2 linked regions of the Canis lupus familiaris genome follow. The protein of the gene in region 2 purifies or fractionates together with the protein of the main gene of each other region. This does not show direct contact. Links are inferred from orthologs where the notes say so. Each region holds a gene or a part of one and is shown on either strand. Other genes may lie near its edges.

Region 1 (4,174 bases), on a different chromosome or scaffold from region 2:
TAAAATCTCTACTGGAAGTCCTGCAAGCTACATGAAAATATAACTGAGTTACGTTTCAAGGCGACTTTTGATAATACTACTTTCTCACCTAGATGTTAAAGAAAAAAGTTATTTAACTCTAAATACAATAACAAGAGATGTTATTTGCAAGATTATGAACTACTCGCATACACTTAAAAATCAGAGGGAAAGTGAAAACCCTTCCAACATTAACTTTATAAGTTAAAAGTTAGCTAACTTTTAACTAGCAGTTCTCTGCAGCAAACTCAAAATATACAGGACTAATTTCAAGCTGAGAAATTTGAAAAATATTCCAAACCCCTATATCCATTTTCTTAGATCCTGCAACTCCCCCCTTTCTGATGCTGTACCTTGAGATTAACCCTTGCTATTCACTTTGAAACTCTGTTTTAAAAGATATCACAGTAGCACTTCCTCGAAATGCTATTCACTCTCAAGCTTTCTGTAAATGGCCCTCATATCACACAACTGGCATTCCTTTGCAAAGCTGTAAAATTAGAGCAAATGTAAGATTCATAATGTCAGCATTTGTTAAAGGAAAGGGGACAGATATGTGGAATAATTTTAAAGCACAGTTTTGCTTTTAAAGTATCTCAGCAAGTCCTCTCCAATACTAGCCAATATGAAATTAAAAAAAAAAAAAAACAGATACTTTGTAAGGGTTTTGTTTTGGGTTTTTTTTTTTTAAGGAAATGAAGACAATACACAAAATTCTTTAGTTTTTTCACATATAGGTTCCTCTCCAGTGCTCCACCAAGATTAAACTATTCTTACTGAATACACCTACTGGAACCCAAGAAGATACAGGGCTCCCCAAAGACAGTAAGGAAAGGACAAAATGAGGAAGGAACTACCTCATTAATTAAAAAAAAAAAAAGCTAACTTGCAAAGAGAAGCAACTGATAAGCCATATGTATCTCCAACTGCAAGCACCCTTCTGCCTGGTACTGACACATTCACGTCTTGGGGAAAGAGGCCAGGAGGATGAGGTGCCAGGAAGAGCAAAGCAGCTGGGTATCAGCAGCCCAGCAGGGGCACAGGAGTTAATCTGTTTGGATGCCCAACTGCAGGAAGTCATTACATCATAGGCCTTTCCACACCTCTCTCCTACCACGTGTCCAGTGCCCCGAGAGGCTGAAAAGGAACAGTAGAGAGCCTCTCTTCTGGCTCATTTATAGGCAGAAGCCATTATGACCCAGCCCCGCCACCACACCTCCCTCCCAAAGGCCTAGGTGAAGCTCCAGGCCTCAGCCCTCCACACCTGGACCGGGCCTCAAACAGCGCCGGAGTCCAGGCCTCGGCGGGAGCAGCAGGTGTGGCCAGTCCTTCAGGTGGCAGGGCTGGCCCGCTCCGGGACTCGAAACATCCCAAGTTGGGGGGCGGGGGGGGGGGGACAGATTTACTGCAGAAACATCTCTAAGGAGTAAAGGTGTCCACACAGGCAACCAAAAGAAAGAAAGAAAAAGAAAGGCAGCCAGGGGAAAAAAAAAAAAAAAAAAAAAAAGGTTTGCAACCACTGCTTTTTTTAATGGGATCGCTGTGCCTGCGGGAACCAACACCCACAAGCCAGAAACTTCGACGCAAGGGGTTTTTTTTTTCTCATGCAGCTCTAACGACGACGACCATGCACTGCAAAGCACAAATCCATCCCCTTCCCCGGAGGAGCCCCAAGCACTCCCCCACGTCCTCTCACTGCACCCGCGGGGCCTTCCCCGCATCCCCACGACGGTGATTCCTGCTTCGAAGTTGGCCGCAGACCTACCTCCTCCGTGCCGTCCCGGGGATCCAGCAAAGGCTCTGCCGTCCGCCGGTCCTTCCCTCGCCGGCATCCCTTGCCCCCTCTCCTCCTCCTCCTCCTCCTCCTCCTCCTCCTCCTCACCTGGCCATGCCCGAGGCCTCCCCGGGGTGGGGGGGCGCCTCCTTTCCCGCCCCACCCTCCGCGGCCGACCCCAGGTTCCCCTCCTCCGGGGAGGGGAGGGGAGGGGAGGGGAGGGGAGGGGGGTCGCACGGGTTCCCCCGAAACCTCACAGCGGAGGCGCTCGCTGCCAACCCCTCTCCCGGCGCCCGCGGGCGCGCTCCGCGGGATGCAGGCGCGCGTCGCCCTGCGCAGGAGGCCCGGCGGGTCCGGCCGCCCGCCCGGGGTGGGTACGCACCTTCCACCCCGCCGAGCTGTTGCTGTCGCCCTTATCCTTGAAGTAGGGCACGCAGCGCACCATCCACTCGTAGATCTGGGACAGAGTGAGCCGTTTGTCGGGCGAGCTCTCGATGGCGCGAGTGATGAGGTCGGCGTAGGACAGGTTGCCCCAGGCGTTGCGCCGCGACGAGCACTTCCTCGGCTGCCCCGAGCCCCCGGCCGCCCCCGGCTGCGGCGGGGCCAGCGCCTGCGGAGGCTGCGGCGGCGCCTGGGTCCCCCCGCTCGGCGCGCCCGCCGCGGGGCCCGGCGCGGCCCCGGGGTCCTGCCCCCCGGGAGCCCGCAGCCGGGCCGCGTCTTCGAGGAGCAGCCCGGAGCCCAGCGCGCCGCCCCCGCCGCCGCCGAGCGCCATGGCCGAGCCGGCCCTACCGCCGTCCTCGTCGTCGTCGTCGTCGTCCTCTTCGGGGATCATCGAGTCGGCGGCCGTCTCCCCCGAGGGCTTGGCCGGGCTCCCCTGCAGCTCCGGCCTCTGCAGGGGCCACGTACAGGAGCGCGGCCGGCTCTGGGGCTCGAACTCGGGGTCCAGCTCCACTTCGAGCGGGGAGAGCGGGCCCGGGGAGGCCGGCGCCTCTGCCATCTTCCCCGCCCGCCCGCCCGCCCGCGGCTCGGGCTCTCGGGCTCTCGGGCTCTCGGGCTCTCGCGCTCCGCTCTCGCGCCGGGGCGGGGTGCGGCGGGGGAGGCCCGGGGGCGCCGCGGAGGCTCGGGCTCCCGGGAGCCGCTGCCGCTCCTGCCGCCGCCTGGGGAAGCACGGAGGAGAGAGTTGGTTACCCGCGCGGCAGCCCAGCCCTCGGCCACCCCGCGCCCGCCGCCGCCGCCGCCGCCGCCGCCGCCGCCTCCCGGAGACAGGCAGACCTGGAGACGTGCGTCCCGCGGACCTGGCGCAGCAGACACCGCCCCCTGCCAGGCCGCGGGGAGCCGGGAGCGAATGGACGCGCTCGCGCGGGGCCGCCGGCTCGGCAGGTCTCTCCCGGGCGAGGTGGCGGGGCGGGGAGGAGGGGGAGGGGCGGGGCGGGGGAGGGGCGCGGGCCGCGCCTTTAAAGCGGGCAGCGGCCGGGGCTGGCGCAGCCGAGCCGCGGTCGGAGCCGGGGCGGGCGTGCGTTTGTTTATGTTTCGCTCGGGCCCCGCGCGGGTGCTTCCCGCGGCGCCTTCCGCTCCGCCCCGCGCCCCGCGCCCCGCGCCCGCCGCCCCCGCGCCCCCGTGGACTCCGCTCTCCGCGCCCAGGGGCCAGGGGCCCGGGCTCCGGGGGGCGGCGCGGGGCCAGGAGGACGAACGTGGGTCCGGGCGCGGACGGGCTCTTGTCACTTCCAGAAAAGAAAAAAAAAAAAAAAAGACCAGACGGGAAGCGAGGAGGGGAGGATCGGGGGTGGGGGTAGGGGCGGGGCGGGGCGGGGGGCAAGCAGCTCGGCGGGTGTTTGCAAAGGGTCGAGCCAAGCGGGAACGACCACTTTGGGGTTTTGTGTGCTTCGGTTTGCGGGCGGGCGTTGGACCCCGCACCCCCCCACCCACCCCCCTTCCCGGGAAAGGGCAGGGGGAGGGGGCGAGTCGGAACGTAAATCTTCCAACAGGTCAGGAAGCGCCAAGTCTCCCGGGCTGCCAGAAAACCCGGACCCGCACGTTCATCACCTCCTTGCTCCCGCTGCTGCCATCTTGACAGTTTTCCCCCCTTCACTCAAGTCCTTTAAAAACAGCAGCGGGAGGGAAAGGGGGGCGCGCACACCGAGTCACGGGGAGGGAAAAGGGAAGCGCCTGGCCCGGCTCGGAAGCAGATCCGGAGTCACCGGGAAGGCGACCGCCCCGCTGCACAGCTCCGGCGCCTACCTCGGTTGCTTCCCTTCAGGGACGAGGGGGGAGGACGCACGACTCCGCGCGGGCCCGGGGCGCGGCGAGGAGGGGGCGCGCAACCCCGGCCACCGAGAGGCGCTCCGGCCGCCGCCGCCGCAGCCCGCCCGAGGACCCGCCTGT
Region 2 (4,280 bases):
CGGGATCGAGTCCCATGTCAGGCTCCCTGAATGAAGCCTGCTTCTCCTTCTGCCTGTGTCTCTGCCTCTCTCTCTCCTGTGTATTTTCACGAATAAAGAAATAAAATCTTAAAAAAAAAGTGATTAAGTATTAAGGAAAAGAAAAAAAACAGACTTGAATTGAGAGAGTGCAAGATACGCTGGAGAAAAAGCACTCCACACAGAGAGGTACAAGTGAAAAGAACTGGTGGTGTGAGAAGGACCTGATTGAGAAATACCAGAGGCCAGCTTCCAGGGGCTTAAACTGTTTAAAACCAAAAAGAACAAAGTACTAGACCTTCCGTAGAAACACAAGCTGACACTAAATCTCAAGAAGCACCTAAAAACCTCATCAAGTTATAAGGGTACAGAAAACTATTTTTAATTGACATAAAAAAATACAAAAAAGAAAAAGACATTATTCTCTAAAGCTCTGAAACCGTACCTATCCGGGGCCTTGGAGTCCAGTCACTAGAGCTTGCATGTGAGGCTCTATCATCCTCATCACTTTCACAGGAATGAAAACCGTTGGTGATTATTTCATCATCAAACAGAAGGTTATCTGCAAAAGAAACCAAAGTAACTAAAGGCTGATGAAACAATCTGCCTCTAAAATGTATACAGATCTGGGTACCCCGGGTGGCTCAGCGGTTTAGCGCCACCTTCAGCCCAGGGCGTGATCCTGGAGACCCGGGATCGAGTCCCACACGTCGGGCTCCCTGCAAGGAGCCGGCTTCTCCCTCTGCCTGTGTCTCTGCCTCTCTCTCTCATGAATAAATAAGATCTTTAAAAATAAAATAAAATAAAATAAAATGTATACAAATCTGTAACAGTTATGATGCAATGACTTTCACTGAATAAACCACTGAACATTCATTCATAGTACCTAGGTTAAAAACTTCCTACTGGGTCAGCTTGCACCATTCTAAGAGCCATATATGCACATCTTTACACATTCTGCACCGAATCTTAAAACTTTCAGCTCATGAAAATCTAGGAATAAGTTAGGTTTACTTAATCAAAACACAGAGTGGTAATCTAAACTGAACTTATTGATCACAAGTAATGGGAATTCATGAAACTGGTCAAAAATGTAACAGAAATCATTCAAATTCATGACAATTATTTGCCCTTCTCTTACATAATACTAGACTTCCAAAGATATATTTGCATTATTCGTTTCCCATATTAAACTGTTTACAGAAATCAATAAGTGATTTACTAATCAAGAACTTAATGCACTTCTATGATCAAATGCTCCAGATTGAATTTACTGGTAAAGACGAACATTCACGACAGAAACTCCTCAGACTGAAAAATATGAAAACTCTCAAAGATGATATGACATACACAACTAACACATCTGCTTTAACATAACAACAACAACAAAAATGAGTTTGTGTTTCAGGGTTATCAGATACGCACATACACGCAAAATTATATCTAATCTAAAAAACATTCTAAGTATATATAATTAGGAAAAAAAAGTACTATTGGGGCGCCTGGATGGCTCAGTTGGTGGAGAGTCCACCTTTGGCTCAGGTCGTGATCCCGGGGTCCTGGGATCCCCTATGCTCCCCGCAGAGAACCTGCTCAGGTCGTGATCCCGGGGTCCTGGGATCCCATCATGCTCCCCGCAGAGAACCTGCTTTTCCCTCTATGTCTCTGCCTCTCTCTCTCTCATGAATAAATACAATCTTATGTTTTAAAAAAAGAAAAGAAAAAAGCCTACTTTACTAGTCTTAAAGTACTATCAGTCTCCCAATACGCATTCATTGCAACATTTCAGAAATTTAGCGATGCTTCTCAAATTTTGTGGGTTATGACTTTAGAAATAGCTTTGCTCCTTAAAATTTAAAAATAAAGGCCCTCAAAAAAAAAAAAAAAAGCCGTGAATTGCACAGGTGTATCAGTTTGCAAAGACAACTGCAAAAGGTTGATGAAAAGGGACGGGCAAAAGTTGCAGACTTACGTGTGCAAGGAAGCGGGGATACGGAAAAGCGAAAGATGTTAAACAAAGGCAATAAGCTAAGAGAGTAGGAGGAGAGAGAAACTTACTTTAAAACCAACTGCGGGAGCTTCGCGGCCCGGCGGCTGCGCAAAGCGCAAAGCCGCGCAGGCGGGCGGCGGAGGGAGGGAAAAAGGGAGCGGAGGGAGGGGGTGCGCGGGCCGCTCCCGCAGCCCCGCCGGCAGCCGGGGAGGAGCGCAGCCGAGGCCCGCGGTGGGAAGGGGGCGCCGCAGGCCAGACCTGAGCCCCCAGCCCGCCCCCCGGAGCCCCCAAAGCCCTACACCGCAAGGGGCCCCAGAGAGGGAGGAGGGGATGCGCAGTCCCAGCCGCCCGCGCCCTGCGCACCTCGGTACCCAATCGCCGCCGCCGCCGCCGCCTCTTCCTCCTCTTCGCCCTCGTCGTCGTCGTCGTCGTCGTCGAAGTCGTCGGCCGGCGGCGGCTCGCGGGAGAGGCCCTGTAGGCCCGGCCCATTGTCTCCTTCTCCGGCCGCCGCCGCCGCCGCCTGGGCCTCCCGCTCCCCGCCCGCCGCCGCCTCCCGCCACAGCGCCGCGGCCGCCGCGGAGCAGCCCCCGGTCGCCGCCGGCACCTCCCGCTCAGGGGCCGCCCCGCCGGGCTCGCCTGGGCTCCGCCCCAGGCCAGGACAGTCTCTCCGCGGCCTCTTGCGGAGTGGCTCCCCGGCGGGCGGCGACGCGGCCTCCCTCTCGGCCGCCACCGCCGAGGGGGAGCCGCCGGGCTGAAGGGCGAGCGCCGCCTCGTCCGCCATCTTCCAACTGCCTCTCTGGCCCTCCTCCCTCGCCTCCTCTGCTCCCGCTCGACTCGCGGCACTGGCGCCCCCGCGGCTCCGGCTGCGGGAGATTTAAACCCCGTCACGTGACCCGGCCCCGTCGCCCCCGCCCTCCCGCCCTCCCGCCGCTCCCGCCACCCACGCGGGCCGGACCACAACACGGCGGGTCACGTGGCGGGCGGAGGCGGCGTGGGCTGGGAGGAAGCGCGGCCCCACCCACCCTCTGCGGCAGGCGCGTCCGGCCGCCGCGCTCGCCCGGCTCCCGGCCGCTCTTCGAAACCGGCCTCGCGTCGCTGTCGCCCGGCCGGCCCAAGTTTTTGGTTCCCCCTGCGAGTTTCCGCTGAAGTCTGAAGCGCACGGCTCGCTTGCTTTAGTCTTTTCCAGGTTTAAGGTAAAGGGTTAAAACTTAGTTCCTGAGAAACGATGAGGAATGAAGCTGGCCCAGGCCGAGCTTCGCACGCTGGATAGTCGTGTCCACCAGCCTAAGTGGAGGATAAAAGACTTCACTCCTCATCCTCACACCAATGTGACAGCTCCTCTTGGCTCCTCTTCCTACTTCTTGCTCCTGTCTCTAGCTGACTGCCCCCCCCCCAGCCCCATCACTTGTAGGGTGGTGTGAATTGTCATCCTTAAAGGCATGTGTTCCCCCTGAAAACCCCTGACCTGGGGCGCCGGGGATCAGCCTGTTTGTTTTCTGGCACCACCTGGGCTGCAAAGGTGTCTTGAATTCCTTCTGAACGCATCGGGTCAAGTGGGCCATTCGCAAAGAGCAGAATGAACATGATGACTTGGCGGGTCTACGCTTGGGACTTTGCGTTGGAATTTGAGATTCTCACCTACTAGCATGAGCAATTTAGCCTTTCTATAGGCAATGTTCTCATCTTTAAAATGGTAACATTTGTAGGGTTGTAAGACCTATACTGATAAGCTAGAAGATAGATGTAAAGTGAGGAGTAGCTCAAAAATACCAGTCCCTGAATGAATGAATGAATGAATGAATGAATGAAGTTCCTTGCATACTAGAAGCCCTTCTACTTTCCACTTTCCTGAAATTCCAGAGCACTGTCACTCTACATCTAGTCTTAACTAAAGACTCCAATAATACATGGCAGATCTAGAGCCAATGTTTGGTAGGGCATCTACCACCTGTGCAGTGTGGCATTAGAACTATCTAAAGGAAAAAAAGGCAGGAAGAGTGGGGCGATGAGAGGTGGATGAAAAAATCAGCTACATCTTCAGTGGGATATTTACTCTTACTTGGTGCTAAATCAGATGCAACGAGTCCTGGTACAACCTGTTATGAACTGCCTTTGAACACCGGCCTGTTATCCCAGGCACTCAAAATATAAATGCCAGCAAGTGGTTCTTCGTGTATTTTTGTGGGAAAAAACTTTTCTTTTGATTTTTAAAAATTCAATGTTGATCTTTCAGAATGGACCAAGGCTTTTTTTAAAAAGGATTGCAGGACAC

Evidence for each region. The genes of interacting proteins can lie anywhere in the genome.
Region 1: the proteins of SIRT1 (region 2) and FOXO3 purify together in Homo sapiens (affinity purification with western blotting; 4 studies listed by BioGRID and IntAct, with this or other methods). This does not show direct contact. The link is inferred for Canis lupus familiaris from reciprocal best matches to the Homo sapiens genes SIRT1 and FOXO3.

What each region holds. Positions count from the first base shown.
Region 1 is NC_049233.1:65,900,853-65,905,026, reverse strand, and holds the start of FOXO3 (forkhead box protein O3), read right to left. Parts: upstream 2,805-4,174; 5' UTR 2,790-2,804; coding exon 2,175-2,789; intron 1-2,174. UniProt on the Homo sapiens protein: Transcriptional activator that recognizes and binds to the DNA sequence 5'-[AG]TAAA[TC]A-3' and regulates different processes, such as apoptosis and autophagy.
Region 2 is NC_049225.1:19,900,466-19,904,745, reverse strand, and holds the start of SIRT1 (NAD-dependent protein deacetylase sirtuin-1), read right to left. Parts: upstream 2,808-4,280; 5' UTR 2,790-2,807; coding exon 2,372-2,789; intron 2,096-2,371; exon of another isoform or gene 2,077-2,095; intron 581-2,076; coding exon 464-580; intron 1-463. UniProt on the Homo sapiens protein: NAD-dependent protein deacetylase that links transcriptional regulation directly to intracellular energetics and participates in the coordination of several separated cellular functions such as cell cycle, response to DNA damage, metabolism, apoptosis and autophagy.